Drosophila melanogaster: one gene and its partners. Changing the gene in region 3 together with the main gene of any one other region gives a genetic interaction. Each region holds a gene or a part of one and is shown on either strand. Other genes may lie near its edges.

Region 1 (3,811 bases), on a different chromosome or scaffold from region 3:
TTACGATTGTAAGAACGTTTATATTAATGCGGATGCCATTCATTACCACCAGCACAGCTATTTGTTTAGGCTGTTTTACTATAATGACAAATGCAAACGGCTGACTAACTAAATGAAATCGCGAGCGTATAATCTACATATTTCAAATCTAATAACATCGGACAGCCGGGTTCAAAGTAGTTATATAAATCATATTATATATGAAAGAGATGATAACAACCAAATGAGAGAAGCTAGCCCTTGCAGGACTTAGTTTGAAGTCCGTGTAGCGGCCAAGTCTGAAGAGACACAAGTTTCCAGTCCGAGGACAAAGTGTTCATTATGCTTTGCCCTGTCCGCAATACCAAGTTTTATATCGATCGGACAGGTGTGAAGCTCAGGGCGATAAGAAAACTGAATTTTCCGGGTGTCGCATTTTCCGGGTGCGAAAATGACCCCCACCCCCAGCCCATCGTCACACCAACGCAAACAAAGCGTGGCAAACAGCATCTTTTGTTTACGTTGCCAGTCGGTCTCGCTCTAAAAAGGTCAAGGCCTATTCAAAGGGAAAACTAGCAGCTGTCTGCGAAGGGGTGAGAAGAGCAACTACGACCACTGCGGGGACAACTAAGTGGGGCAGCGAAAGCAGAGCGCACAAATTACATACAACGTTAAATAAATCGCACATACGCACCGTGTTCACGAACTCGGCGATGTTGGACGAAATCAAGTAGTTGCCTTCGCACCAGTCGACGGGCGAGCTTCCGGGTCTTAGGTGCTCCCAGGCCATGGCGTAGATGTCCAGCAGCCCGCCGCCCCCCATCCCGCCCATTCTCCGCCCACTCGATGGAGGCCCGACCGCAGAGATCACAGCTGATTGGGGAGGCGGTTCCGCTCGTTCTGCCCAGGCACTTTGTGTGTGTGTGTGTTGCTCTGTCGCCCTTCCTTGCAATCTTAGACCAGCTGCAGTGGCGCAATTTGCATAATAGCCCAGTGTGCAAGCACTTGCGTGTCTTTGTTGATTGCCTTCCGTCGCGTGGCTTACTGCAGAGTCGAAGTATTCCGCAGTTATGTAAGGAAATATTTAGTTCTTGATGGCTCAGGCGATGGAATCTACGACGTTTGGGACGCTGACCACTCGCGCTAGGAACGCACTTTTCAAAAAATAAACCAGCGCGCAACGAGCGACGCGATAATAATAAACAAAAATAACAACTGTGTGACCGCTTGCAAGCGAACGGTAAATGTCCATAGTGGCGGGAAATCCCCTAAAAAATACCGTTGCTCACAACTATACCGTTAAGCAATGTGAAATGTAAACGTAATGTAGAAACTTTGCAGTTGTAAAGTGCGCCATTCTCTTTTTTTAATTACCGCCTGGCGATTTCGGAACTCCTGTATCGGAAGTCTTATTGTTATATAAATAAATATATTCTTTATGGCATTTTAAAGTGTTGTTCTTGAAAATTATCCTTCACAATTTTATCAAAAATGAGTAAGGAATTCTGAACGTGTTCTGAACCTTTAACCAATCCTTTGACCAATCTATAAATGACTAACTATCATAATTTTGGATGTCCTCCTAGTGATGATGCGCACCAAGATTGCTCAATTTGAAAATGAAAGCTGTAAATAGAAATGCTAAAAAAAACTTGCAAAACGTATTTTCAAAGTCTTTCTATTAATCGACACTTTCATCTCAACTCGTGAAGAAGTGCAATTAAAAATTATTAAAATAGGTCAGTATACATTTTTCCGAGTTCATAATACTGATATTAATCGGAATAAACGAACTCATTTTGAATAAACCAATCAAAAAAAAAAAAAAAAAAAACTCCAGAGTATCCAGCTCGCGCGATTATCTCTAATATTAATGTCTAATAATATCGATATTTCGATTGGTACACAAATCGATGTATTTGGTCTTGCCGGGCTCGTTGCTCTTCCTTGCTGGCCGATTCTCTGTTGTTTTACGGAATCTTGAGTGAGAGACGATGTTCCCGCAACGCAGCTCGGAGCTGTACCGCACTCCGGTGACCCACCAGCCTCCGCCGGCACTGGAGCTGGCCGGGAATCTGGAGTACCCGAACCTCAACATTGCGGACCTAAACGCGCGATTGGAAAACCTTTCGCCGCGACTGCACGACTGCTGGGACAGCATCGCTATCAATGATCACAACCACCTGGCCCTGGCCACAAACCGACGCGAAGGACGCCAATGGTGGGGCATGTTGTTCGGCTACGGACGCGACCAGATGCACCATATGAGCGTGGACTCGGCGAACTTCAAGCTGCAGGCGGAGCACACGGTGAACATTGTGCGCTACGCTGAGGATGATTTCCTACTGGTGGCCCTTGGGGATACCCGACTCCAGGCCTGGTCCACATACTCCAAGGTGCGAGATTCTCAGTCGCCATACTGCCTCTTCCTCGTGGGCGAGTCCAGTGCGCATCCCACACCCATCAGCCAACTGAGCGTCTTCAAGGCGGATCCCCGCACTGCCGTTTCGGGCTCAGCGGACAGTACCCTCAATGTATGTATAAAGGTGATGTGGATGTATGGAAAATATACAAATGTTACCCTTTTGCAGGTCTGGGATCTCTCGGGCGCCGATATGGTGAGCACCTACAGATCGCGCTCCTCGCATACCGACAAGTTGACTGGCCTGGCCACACCCGCAGCTTCAGTCGATAAATTTGTGACCTGTGATCGTGGCGGCTGTGCCCGCCTTTGGGATGTCCGGGCAGCGGCTCCATCTTCCACGTGCCTCTATGCGGATGCCAGCCACGTGCTGAGCTTCACCAGTGCCGCCTGGGCAGCTGCCTCGGAGCTGCAGGGTGACAATCACATCTATCTCGGGGACTATGACGGCAAAGTTCATACTCTGGACATTCGAGTGCCACGAAAACTGGCGGAAACCAGGGAATACTTCGACAAGGGCCATGTCGCCCAGTTATTAATCAATGGGTACAAGTTTAAGCGAAACAATGACGATTTGCATTAACGCACATATTTTCAGGCCCCATCTGGCTGCGATGAGCAATTTGCCCGCCTCCGTGAAAGTGGCCAATGTGCAGGCGGGCCATGAGTTCATCTACACGCACCAGGACACCCATTCTCGCCTAACTGATGCCGTTTGGACCGATGATAGCACCCTCATCACCATTGGACATGGCCGCAAAATGGTGACGCACGCTATCAAATAATTTTGCTGCCGAACAAATTCAATTGCTTTATTTCAAAAAGCGGAATGGTTTGCTGAAGAGTCATTCTTACATTTAACACTTATAGTTACTGAACAGTTACAAGTAATAAATCGTAATAATAGTCCAATGAAATGGCAGAATTCAAATCGATAGGAATCTTAAAAAAATTGTGAAGCAGCAGCCCAGTTTAAATGCAGTTTAACAGGATAAACCGGGCTTGGGCGATGAAACTTACACTAGACAACACGTAAAAATTAACAACCGCAAAAAATACTTAAATTCGCCAATACACTCGGATGCGGCGGTGTCGGCGTTTTGGGAAAAATGTTGTCGCTTAATTTTTCCAGAAAATTAAAACCTTTTCGCGCCTCGACCCTCACGTATTAACGATGGAAACACAGAAACGAAACCTAGCGTCGCGATCGCTTGGTGGGTGGCTCAAGGAAGTTCTCCTCCTCGATTTCCATGCCATCGAGCTTCATCAGCCTCTTCGCCTTCTGCAGCATGGGCGCATCGCGCAGCCAGCTGCTCTGCAAAACGTCGTCGATTGAGGGTCGCCTCTCGGGATCCACAATGAGCATTTGGTTGATCAGCAGCTTGGCGCGCTGCGAGACACTCTTCCAAG
Region 2 (5,005 bases), on a different chromosome or scaffold from region 3:
CTAACGATTAATAGTTATATTAAATGCGATTTTAAACCACAGTGGTATTGCTTTCTCTGAACCAAATGATGAAAATTATATTGAAATATGGTAGATAAAAATGGATTTTGGTTTTTATCCCGTTTACCTGCGCAGCATTGTTGCTGTACACATTGCTGCGGTTTGCCACCACGCTGGGTACGCGGCTAGTGGGATGATGTCCTACAGGCGGGTGAGTTGAGGCTGTTCCTGACCTCGACTCGTGTCCCGAATGGGATCTTGGATCAACGCTGTGTCTGGTCGAGCTGGTCACATGCTCTGCTCGACTGGAATTGTACGGAGGAATAGGAGCCACAATCGGCCGGTCCGAACGTCTTTTCGAACTGGCTGCATTACTTCCTGTTCCCGAGGCACCAGATGCTCCATGACGATGTGAGGATTTTTGGGCCAACAAAGCTTCAAATTGTCGCAAATTCTCCTCACGCCGCTTAGACGCTGAAATGGTAGTGGCCGTAAGCTTAGATGGAGCCACTCCATCCACCACGCTGCTGCTGCTACCGCCACGACTGGCCGAGCCGGAGGTGGACGTGGTGGAGGAGGAGCTCCTGGCCGCCGGAGTGGGTCCAGTGCCAGCTGGTCGCCATACCGCTGGCTGTTTCTCGTCCTGCAAGTGCTGCTTCTGCTTAAAAGTGGCCCTCATGGCCAGCACCGTATCATTATTCTTCGTATCGGAGGCAGTACGTGCCAGTTTAGCCTTCACAGCATTTGCTCCGTTTGCGGCAGCAGCCGAGTTCTTGGAATAGGCTCCGATCGAGTTACGACCATCGCTGCCGCGCTGGAATTCCGATAACATCAGCTCATTGCTGTCATCCAGTTCTCCTGCCCGCCTGCCGCCCAAATACTGAAAATCATTCTCGGAGGACATGTCACTAATGCCCGGTCGCAGAAGGTTTTCCGTTTCACCGTAGCGCTTGCTCTGCTTGCGCTTGATCTCCAGTTTCATCACGTCCATCGATGATTGGGATTGTTGGTTTTGCTGCTGTTGCTTAAAGCTCTCCTCCACGTTATGGATGTGCTTCTCGATGGAGCCGAGGGCAAAGGACACACCGGCATCGTCTTCGGTGGACAGAAGGCGTGGCATTGGCGGCTTTTGGCGTTCTTTGGGCGTGGGATGCGGCTGTAGGGTGGGTAGAGCCGATACGGCTATCCTGGGCAATGGAGTGGCTTGGGCATCACGTCGTCGAAGCTCCACTATGCTGTCGTCTTCGGTGGCTCCATCGAGATCCTTGTTGGCAAGATGTGTTTGACGCAGTTCCATTTCCTTTTCCGTTTCCGGCAAGTTACTGCTGCTATTGTTGTTGTTGCTGCTGTGGTTGCTGTTCTGGTTACTAGATGGCGCCACACTGAGCTTGGGCGGCGCAGGTGCCGCCCCCTTGCGGGCGGCATACAGCCGGACACTCTTCCTGGTGGCATCGCCGCGATTCAAGTCAGGTGTTGTGGTAGTGGTGGCCTCCATAGCTCCTCCGTTTTGCTGCTGATTTCGGTTTTTCTGTTTTTTTTCTCTTAAATTTTTTTGTCGTGGCACTCTTCCCTTGAGTGTGTTGGTGCACAAGTACTTGTTGCTCGGAGAGATCGCAACTTTTTCTTTTTTCTTATTTCTTTTTCAAGTTGCGCTTGGCGTGTTTATTGTTCTTACACTGTGAGTTTGGGGAAAATTATTAAATTGGTCTTGGGGCTTCGGAAGTACAATGCAGCTCACACCGACAGGAGTAAGTGCTTGTGTGTGCGTTCGTTTGCATTGGGCTTTCTAAATTCTCAACGTTACTTTTGTTTGTTTTTTGTCGTCTAACCAACACACAACAAGTCGCAGTTGTTGCGCATTAAAACCTCGAAAATGAATTAAACACACAGCTAGCAACTTCCATTTCTACGTATGTACATATGTATGTACAGATGGGCGGACGGGAAGCGTGTGTGCGTGATATTTACGACAACAGGCGGACAAGAGCTAATCTGTCTCCCCGGTGACACTGAAATAAACACACGGCAGGCGATGTGGGGATGTGAAAGGGAGGGCAATATACCTAAACACACAATTACATACATAGCAAAAGAGAGTGCGCGAGAGAGAAAAGCGAAGTGGCACCTACACACCTGTGGTGGAGGTGAGCTCTTGTGCGTGTGTTTGTTTTCGGTCTCTCTCTAAATTGCTCTCTCCTATTTCTACTGCTGTTGCACAAGCTCAGCTGAGATGCCCTCGCTCTCTCTCGTGTGTGTGTCACGCTTTTCCTGTCCCCACCCCCACCCTCCTCTCCCACGCTCTCTTTTCAGTTTTATGATTCATTTGCCTTTTCGCTATTTTCCTTTGTTGCTTTTAATTACTGTCTAAATAGTTACGATGTGGAGATCTACAAGTATCTGAACAATTCGTCCGTACGAGTCGTTTAGTTGCTGGCTGGTTATATTCCATTTTTATTCGTCGCTGCTTCAGTGAGCAAAGCGAAAAGCTCCAATGCACACACACAGACACACACATGCACGGTCGCACCAACACATTGAAGCAAATGAACTACTTTTAGACAATTGAGCCGACTTTTTCACTGCTGAAAAACACAGTTAGGCTATATACATTGGTCGTTTGATAGTGTGTGAGTATTTTCTTTCTTTTTTTTTCACTTGGTCTGTGGACTATAAAAAATCACATTTCGCGCAAATCCCGATTATTAAAAGGTTCGTTTCGTTGGCCGGAGGAGTTCTTTAACCACACACGGTTATCTTATCGCAGAGGCACGCGGCTTTCGCAATTTTTCGCACTCATTTTACGTGGGGGTTTGGGTATTCGTACTAAATTATAGCTCCTCCTCTGCAACTCTGACGTAAACGTCGTCGACAGGCTACGACTACAACTATACGATTTACACCAACAAAAAACAGCAAAACACAGAAGACACCGAAAAACAAAGCTAAACAGGGCTCAGCAGCCAAAGAGCCACTTGGCCACTCAGCAACTGGAACTGGAGTGCCGGAGAGCGAGAGCGCGGAGTATTCCAAAAGCACGGAATCGCTTCGAGCAGCGACGTCGACTGCGGCAGCGGCGTCGGCCTTAATACACCAACACACCAGCACAAGCACACGATCAGTGGGCAGCTCTCTCCACTGGTGGAGCACTACTACCATTAATACAGTATCTCTATCCGTATCTGCATCTGTGTACTTGTTCTCCCACAAAGAGAAGCCCCGTTTGGAGCTCGAAAGTTTTGAGAGTGTATGAGTGTGCGAGTACCACTGAGCGTAACGCTGGGAAAGAAACTGTTAGCCGTGTTTGCTGCAGGGTTTAGTGTTCTGCGCATGTGCGCAATATATAAGTTCCACCAAGTTACGCAAAGCGCTTCTTCCCTGATTTACTGCGATTAAAGTAACATTCGGTTGGACTTTGGTTTTCTATTAAAATCAATCAATTACCCAATAAGTTCAACTGCTTCCTTTAAAGTTAATCAGTTGATTAGGTGATGCATTACGTAAGAGTTCTAAGTAATAAAACCAAAAGGACATGATGTCTGAAGTCTGAGTCGGAATTCTACGGTCGTCGCGAAGATTTCACTAATCAACTTCCCCCGTTCCCCTGTTTTACTCTATATCAATCACCAGAATACAAAGACCGAGGAATACACACAGTTTGGTACTAAAAATGCAATCCCGAAAGAACATTATTATGAACATCTTGTCGTCAAATAATTGTAAGTCATTTGTCAGCCGACACAATAAAATTTGTGAATAAAATATATAGAGACACGAGTGATACGACATAAACGAAACACATTAGGTATACTTAAAAATAAATAATCTGGAAAATAGAGAAACTCTCATTTTAAGATATCAAAAAGTGTCTCATATGAAATTCGATCATTCTGTCAATTTGTAACTCGCCAAGTTTGGTTTTAATTTATTCATACGAGGTATCAAGTAGCTGAGCCTGTATAAAGTGTCCGTATTAATTAAGCTAATTGAATAACTTGCAGCTTAATCTACATTAAGACAAGACAGCGAGATTTCAGTCAAGCCTTTCAGGTCCCAAACAAAAACATTAAAGATAGAATTTCATTTTTCGCATGCTAGCTAACAGGAAAATCTAATGAGGTCAACTATTATGAACTTGTCCTCCGGACAATGCAATCGTATAGTTATAGAAACAGAGAGCCCGTAATCCCTATAATCCCCTAATCTTTAAACGTATTTGCGTTGGGTTTTTATGTAGCACTTGTGCGATTAGACTGAAAATATATATTAGTTTCCATATGGATTATAGGAATTCAATGTGGGGTAACAAAAATCTGAAATTAAACAAAATCCGTAATCAAAATAATAGAAATCGTTATTCATTCGATTGTGGAAAAAAAACCAAAAACCGTGACAGATACAGACAAAAACGAAACAGCGATTACGATTAGATTGAATGAAGGTGGCAGCACAACAACGATAAATTTGCAATGTTCATAAATGAATGGGGAAGTGTGAGAGACCGACAAACTTTAATCACAACAAATATAACCTTATTGCCCCACTCTTTTGAAATGAAGTAGCAAGGTCAAGTGTAGTTTTGCTCAAGAGCCTAGGAAAGTTTCTAAATCACATAATTGCCAATATCGCAAGCTCCCAATATAAATCCTCCTATATCTTCTATTATATTAATTATGCAATAGTATCTAACGGGTTACCGTTACCGTCGATGGATTTCGATAAAATGTAAGCAACCATCGATAATATCGATAAATTTATATCCAATATTACATACCCTCGAGTTGCGAGCCTTGTCACTGGATGATGCCGACTCCTTGGCCTTGGGCCTTTCCGCCTTACTGGTGGCCACAATGGGCAAGCCGCCGTTTTCGATCATTGTCACCACAATCTTATTGTTCCGACTGCTTACGGTGCCACCACCACCACCGCTTGCGTAGGATGAGTTCGCCGCCGCAGCTGAGGCTGCATTTGTGGCCGCTAGATTCTTCTGCCGCAGGGCGTTCGATAG
Region 3 (5,672 bases):
ATTGGCGAACTCACCTTTTTTATGGCCGCTGGCCTAACGGTTTCGATCAGGGGGCCGCCAGTTCGTGCCAAGAATGAAGCCATTTTGTTCTGAAATCGAATGAGAACGTACGTTTAACGATTTGAAAGCGAATTTTGACGTTACTGCTTACATTTCAAGATTTTTTTGCCGTCGCCTGCTGATGGAGGTGGTAGAGCTTCGATAGCAGGGACTTTTTTATGCTTTTACAATCGAAAATGCCGAAAAACTATCGTGAACTTAATGCAAGGTTGGAAACTGTAATATATTAGCAAAGATTCAAGCCAATTTGGCGGGAACTTTTAATATTGCATGCCATCTAAATTATTTTTCAACTACCGTTATTTTTATGATAATAATAAATTCGCAAATATAATAATATATTCACAAATGTCACAATATAATCTAGACCACTTTTAAATCGAAATTAGTTCGATTAGTTCCCAGTTACTTTGAACATAGCTTAGAGCAAACAAAATCATTGATTTCCCTTTTATTTTATTTTTTCATTTTTTTTTTGGATTTTACATTGCAGCTTGTTATAGGACAAAAAAAACGTGATCACCATCAATACATACAATTAACATACATTCAAGACAATAAATAAGTTTATAAATAGTAGATAGCTATCTAGAAGACTTTAAAGTAGAGCTGTAAATTACGCCAGAATTCTACACTGTGCTACAAACAAGCGCTTAGTGCGCACTTCCGGTTGGCGTGTCTGCAGCAGAGTGTAAGCATTTTATAAACTTTTTTGCAAACGGAAACAGAAAGACGAAAATCGCGCAAATGCTTCACTTGAATTTGCTTGAGCACATCAATAATAAATCAGCCGCGGCGTTGATTTTGTGCAAGCGAATTTTCCAAGTAAAGCAGTGCATTTTCATTACGGCCAAAATGCAGCATGGCTCATATGTATACGTACCACGCCCACTGCGCCCTTCTTTTTAAGGGCAAGTGGCAGGTTGTGTGATACAGGAGCATGCCGAATTTTGACCCACACAAAAGTATATAGAACAAAAAACAGTTTATAAGCATTGCAATGATTTGCATTTAAGTTCCATTTTGCAGTTTAATCTGATTTGGTAAAAACAGATTTCAAAGCAAAATGGTTTTGGGAAAAGCGGAAAAGTTTGAAGAGAAGTTTTCAGCTGCTTGCGCTTATTTTGCATTTGATTATTTTACACAGCTTTTGGGATAGCAGCAAAAAGTGTGCAGAAAATCAATGGCATTGGCAAAACAAATCACAGACAGCGAAAAATTGAGAAGTTTAAATCTAACATAGAACACAAAACACACAATAATATACAATAATGGACTAGGACAAGTGCACGAACATATAAATAAACAAAGACAGAGAACATACTACATATAAAACATATTAAAACTAAGCGAATTCCGTAAAAGCAGCGATCCATCAGCGTAAATCGTAAAATCATCAAAAAGTTCTTATTTTGTCGGTTCCGGTGCCAGCCCAGTCAAAATTTGCATATATGTATCTTGATTAAGAACCCAACTTAATACTCCAGACTCGTTTCAATAACTTGCAGTACGCGCTGCCGACCGATTTTGTTCCAGAACAGATAGGGTTCCTTGGAACCGGTGACTTGGCGTGGTGAGCTGAAAAGTGGCACAAATCGTAAACTCATATGATATGGTATATGGTATAAAGTCTTACGCCTGAAAGCAATCAAATCGCACCACGCCCCTTTCGTTGATTAGACAGGAGTGTATGTCGATGACCTTTAGGTGACAGCATTCGCTTCGGATAAACTTGTTGAATCGGTAGATTTTGTCACATAATACCTTATCGTGACAATAGTTGCCCAGCGGTGCAAGATTTGTTAGAATCGGCACCAATCGCATATTGTGCATCTCCTTGATCAGTAGCCGAAAATCGTGCTCGATCTGAACCAAAGGCTTGCCGCGCATAATGTCCACCGATCCGATATTGACGATGATCTGAGTACCCTCGGGTAATTGGACTCTTTTTAAACGATTTCGGGCGCCATTGATCGTCAGTCCGGATACACAAAGTCCTGACTGCAGGACGCGTTCGTGACGCCTAAATCGGCATTTTAGCTCCATTCGGGCGAGATATAGCATAAAATCATCGCCCATAAGCGGAAAGTCCAGCAGATAGGCATCGTAATCCGAGTTAATCGTCAGCAGAGAATCGTTGTAGGTTCCACTGGTTAAAATCGTTGGCGTGGGCGTCATTTCGTGGCGTCTCTTCATTATGTTCATGCCGTTAAATGGATGCACAAAGATGCCCAAATGGCGGTTTTCAGTCGGTTCGGTTTTCTGGCTTTGGGTTCTGCAGCTTGGCTGATGCCCAGGTGGAGCCAAATTGATTGGTTCCTCTGGGGCATCGGGGCTGTAGATGTTGATGGGTACTGGCATTTTTGGCGCATTTACGCTGGCTTGCTGGTAGAAATTGTTGCTAGGAGTTCAGTAGAAAGATTAGTACATTTTGTTAAGTAAAGGTTTATTTTTGCTATAGTTGCACTGTCTACAAAACACCTTTTCAGTACTCACAGATGCTTCCAATTATCCTGGTAGCACCAGTTCGACTCCGCTGCCTCATTGGCCATTTGATGCAGCGAAACCGGCCTGGTGGCGATATCCTTGGTCTTTTCATCCGTTATCTTGGGCACGGTCCTCGGGCTGGTGTTCAGCTGGGACAGAGCCCTCCGTTTGAAGGGATTCTTCCAGTAGCGTGGAGGTGCTCGTGGTATGTTCTCCAGGGACGGAGCTCCGCTGCTGTAGTCGCTGGTGCGCTCTTTCTGGTTGAGCACCATATCCAGGAGGTGACCGTTCTTCAGGCTCGCTTTCAGGTTGAAGATCCGCTTACCGGACTCGCTGCACTCAGCGGTCACATTGGGAATGGTCAGCAGGAAATCCGTCACGTTGTCGTGCAGTGGAAATGGATTGCCCGTCAGTTTTCGATATTCACCTGGCGAATTTCAATTATAGAATTATTTAAGGGTAATCTTACAAAAAAGAAACATAGAAAAAATATAAATTAAAATAAATATACTAAACTATAAAAGTTATATAATCCAAATAAAATTTAATAACCTACTAAAAATTTATACATTTTAGATTTCTAACTAAATATAGCCACTTAGAGAAAGTTCTGAAGTGTTTGATGAAGTCGAAACTTCTGGAAAGAAGAAAGCTTTCAAACATAAAGCTACTCACTCTTGATGCTCGATATCGTGATTCCATTCTGGGCGTGGCTCAGCAATATGGCGCGCACCTCACTATCTATATCGGGATATTCCTCGCGCACGGATATATAGTTGCTCTCGATGATGGTCATGTTGTTCTCGCTGGTGTTGCTGTTGCTGTTGTAGGTGATTTCCTTGGTGGAAATCTGAGTGGACGAGAAGAGTCTGGCTACGACTTGCAACTGCTGGCTGCTCTGCCGGCTGGTGAGTTCATGGGCCACCAATGGCACCTTCCACAACTCCGGCAATTCGGTTTTTCGCGCCGATTTGAAGATCTTCCGAAAGCGTTCGCCGCATGCGGAGAAATCGGACCTTACGAAGATCTGGTTGAGGCAGCTGGAGGAACTCTTGCGAAAGGAACCGGATGACTGGAGTTTATCGCGCAACTGCTGGAAACACGTGGTCACCCGCTTTTTCACGGACTTAAGATAATAGGTTTTGGCGGAAGTATTGGTGCTGGTATAACTGATCGGTTTGCTGGGGAATTCACTTGTGACTGCGGCCATCGCTTGGAGGAAAGTGATCCAATATTCTTGGATCCCTCGCCAACGCGGTCCACTTCTCCATTCATCTGCATTTTGGAGACTTACGGTGCTTTTCGTACTGGAAGGCGAAAGAGCAGGCGCAACAGAAGTAACGGTGAGCAGTTTGCAGAGATAATGTTTCCAGATCAACAGAATTTGTGAAAATACATTAGGGTGGTACAACCAAAAAATTTTGAAAAAATAAAAAACTGTTTTCAGAACCTAATATAGAACCTATATATATATATATATATTCATTTTCTTTAATTTTTTTATCAATTTGTTCCCATTCGCCCACCATTAGGTTAACATTCAAAGCAGTCTACGTAGCCAGTAAAAACAATTAAACGAAATTACCACCTGCATTGCCATTTGACGACCATTACACAAAGCAGTTTGCACTCCGTTCCAGCTGGACATTCGTTTTAATGGCCTTTCTCTTGGTCCAGATTAGAAAACAGCACGCCAGTGGGTCTGCAGAGCTGCTTGATAAGCAATTACGAAGTAGCATATACATAAATTCCAGAATAACTCAAATGGTGCCGACGAGCGTTACCACGTGCGGTGGTGCTCTGGTGGTCTGTCGGCTAATCGGCAAATGGAGCTGCTTGGCAGCAATTCCCCAGGAGATGATTATCCATCCATACAGCAAGTGCACCTGAAACTCCGAGAAGGGTAATGGAGGCACTTGCTCTGAGGGTTAGTCCAGCGATTGATGGATGACTCAGGGGCTTTCTTACATCTCGTGATGATTCCGGCACCCCGGAAGAAGCACAGACAATCGGAAGGAGGATTATGGCTTCTTAGCTTAAGCAAGTTGGATACAGTCAAACATCAGTAATGCGTACCAGCAAGAAATTACAAAAATTAAATCAGTAAAAATTTTACTTAACTAGCAGATCAGAATAATAAAAAAATAATTTTCAATAAGGTGTTGATGGGTTCAAAGGGTAATATATATAGAATGGGCAATAGTTAGTGCCACTACAACCTATCTGTAATTTAGGGAAGTACTTCCTTATAGATGTTGGACTGTATATTTTCCCTAGCCTTGCCTTAATTGCAGAGGATGCTGCAGAGACGTGACGAGCAATACAATACTATATGTATGTAGAAAAACTGGGCGAGAACATGTGGTCCAATTTATAAATCTCGACCCTTCTCCCATTTTTATTTGCTGAATGTGTAAGCCCAATAATTTAGAGTGGGATGAATCAGCCGGCTTTTCTTGCCATTCAATTTTCCCTTTTCGGGTGGTGTTTCAAATATTTTGAATGCACTCGCACAGCACAGGGCAATTGTCCGGTAATAATAGTAATTTGCATTCCAGGCCCTCTCTCATTCTCTCTACTCCCAGCTAAGAATTACAGTGGTCACTCGATTGTAAGGTAAGGAATTATACATATATTTATGGTATTTGGCAACCTTCCTTGTATTTCTATAAGCGTAATTGTAGGAAGTAACCACTGAAAAATAAATTTGTTTAATATTTTTAAAGACATTTTCCTACTCTCTTCCTTTCTAACAACTACTACCATGATTGACGACCATTTTTGATTGACAACTTTTGCATTTGCGTGTGGTGGGTGTGCATTGGAAATCGCAAAAAGCAATTTACCGCCTAGATTTGTGAACGACACTTTTCATTGGGTTCGACTGCATTTCTGCATAAATTATGGAAGCCGACGGAGCAACTTGTTGTTATTCTGTCTGCTGTCTTAGAATTTTTACCAGCAGCGAATTCATTTCGCAGAGGGCGGCTAAATGTTGGGGGATAGGCAAATTATTGTAATCAATTTATGCGAACAATTTAGCTATTGCCTCACTTTGGTGGGGCGGAGAGACACCTGTTAATCTGCTGACAGGCGGAAAATCTCAGGAATGCTGATTGCGTTGC

Evidence for each region. A genetic interaction does not mean that the proteins touch.
Region 1: of osk (region 3) and vls, changing one suppresses a phenotype caused by changing the other (phenotypic suppression), as found in Drosophila melanogaster (one study listed by BioGRID).
Region 2: of osk (region 3) and par-1, changing one enhances a phenotype caused by changing the other (phenotypic enhancement), as found in Drosophila melanogaster (one study listed by BioGRID).

The regions. Positions count from the first base shown.
Region 1 is NT_033779.5:20,063,761-20,067,571, reverse strand, and holds vls (valois), read left to right. Parts: upstream 1-1,892; 5' UTR 1,893-1,973; coding exon 1,974-2,513; intron 2,514-2,570; coding exon 2,571-2,947; intron 2,948-2,999; coding exon 3,000-3,186; 3' UTR 3,187-3,311; downstream 3,312-3,811. Other genes in the region: bwa (brain washing), read right to left, coding at 674-811; lok (loki), read right to left, coding at 3,597-3,811. UniProt on the Drosophila melanogaster protein: Involved in specific localization of cytoplasmic proteins during the formation of pole plasm. Required for synthesis and/or stability of oskar protein (osk) and localization of tudor (tud) in both the nuage and posterior pole of the oocyte.
Region 2 is NT_033778.4:19,465,461-19,470,465, reverse strand, and holds the start of par-1 (par-1), read right to left. Parts: upstream 3,001-5,005; 5' UTR 2,825-3,000; exon of another isoform or gene 2,653-2,824; intron 1,677-2,652; 5' UTR 1,496-1,676; coding exon 128-1,495; intron 1-127.
Region 3 is NT_033777.3:8,933,231-8,938,902, reverse strand, and holds osk (oskar), read right to left. Parts: upstream 3,778-5,672; 5' UTR 3,758-3,777; coding exon 3,223-3,757; intron 3,188-3,222; exon of another isoform or gene 3,104-3,187; intron 2,975-3,103; coding exon 2,557-2,974; intron 2,462-2,556; coding exon 1,697-2,461; intron 1,639-1,696; coding exon 1,536-1,638; 3' UTR 508-1,535; downstream 1-507. Other genes in the region: ScsbetaA (Succinyl-coenzyme A synthetase beta subunit, ADP-forming), read right to left, coding at 15-83. UniProt on the Drosophila melanogaster protein: Organizes the germ plasm and directs localization of the posterior determinant nanos. Oskar protein is required to keep nanos (nos) RNA and staufen protein at the posterior pole.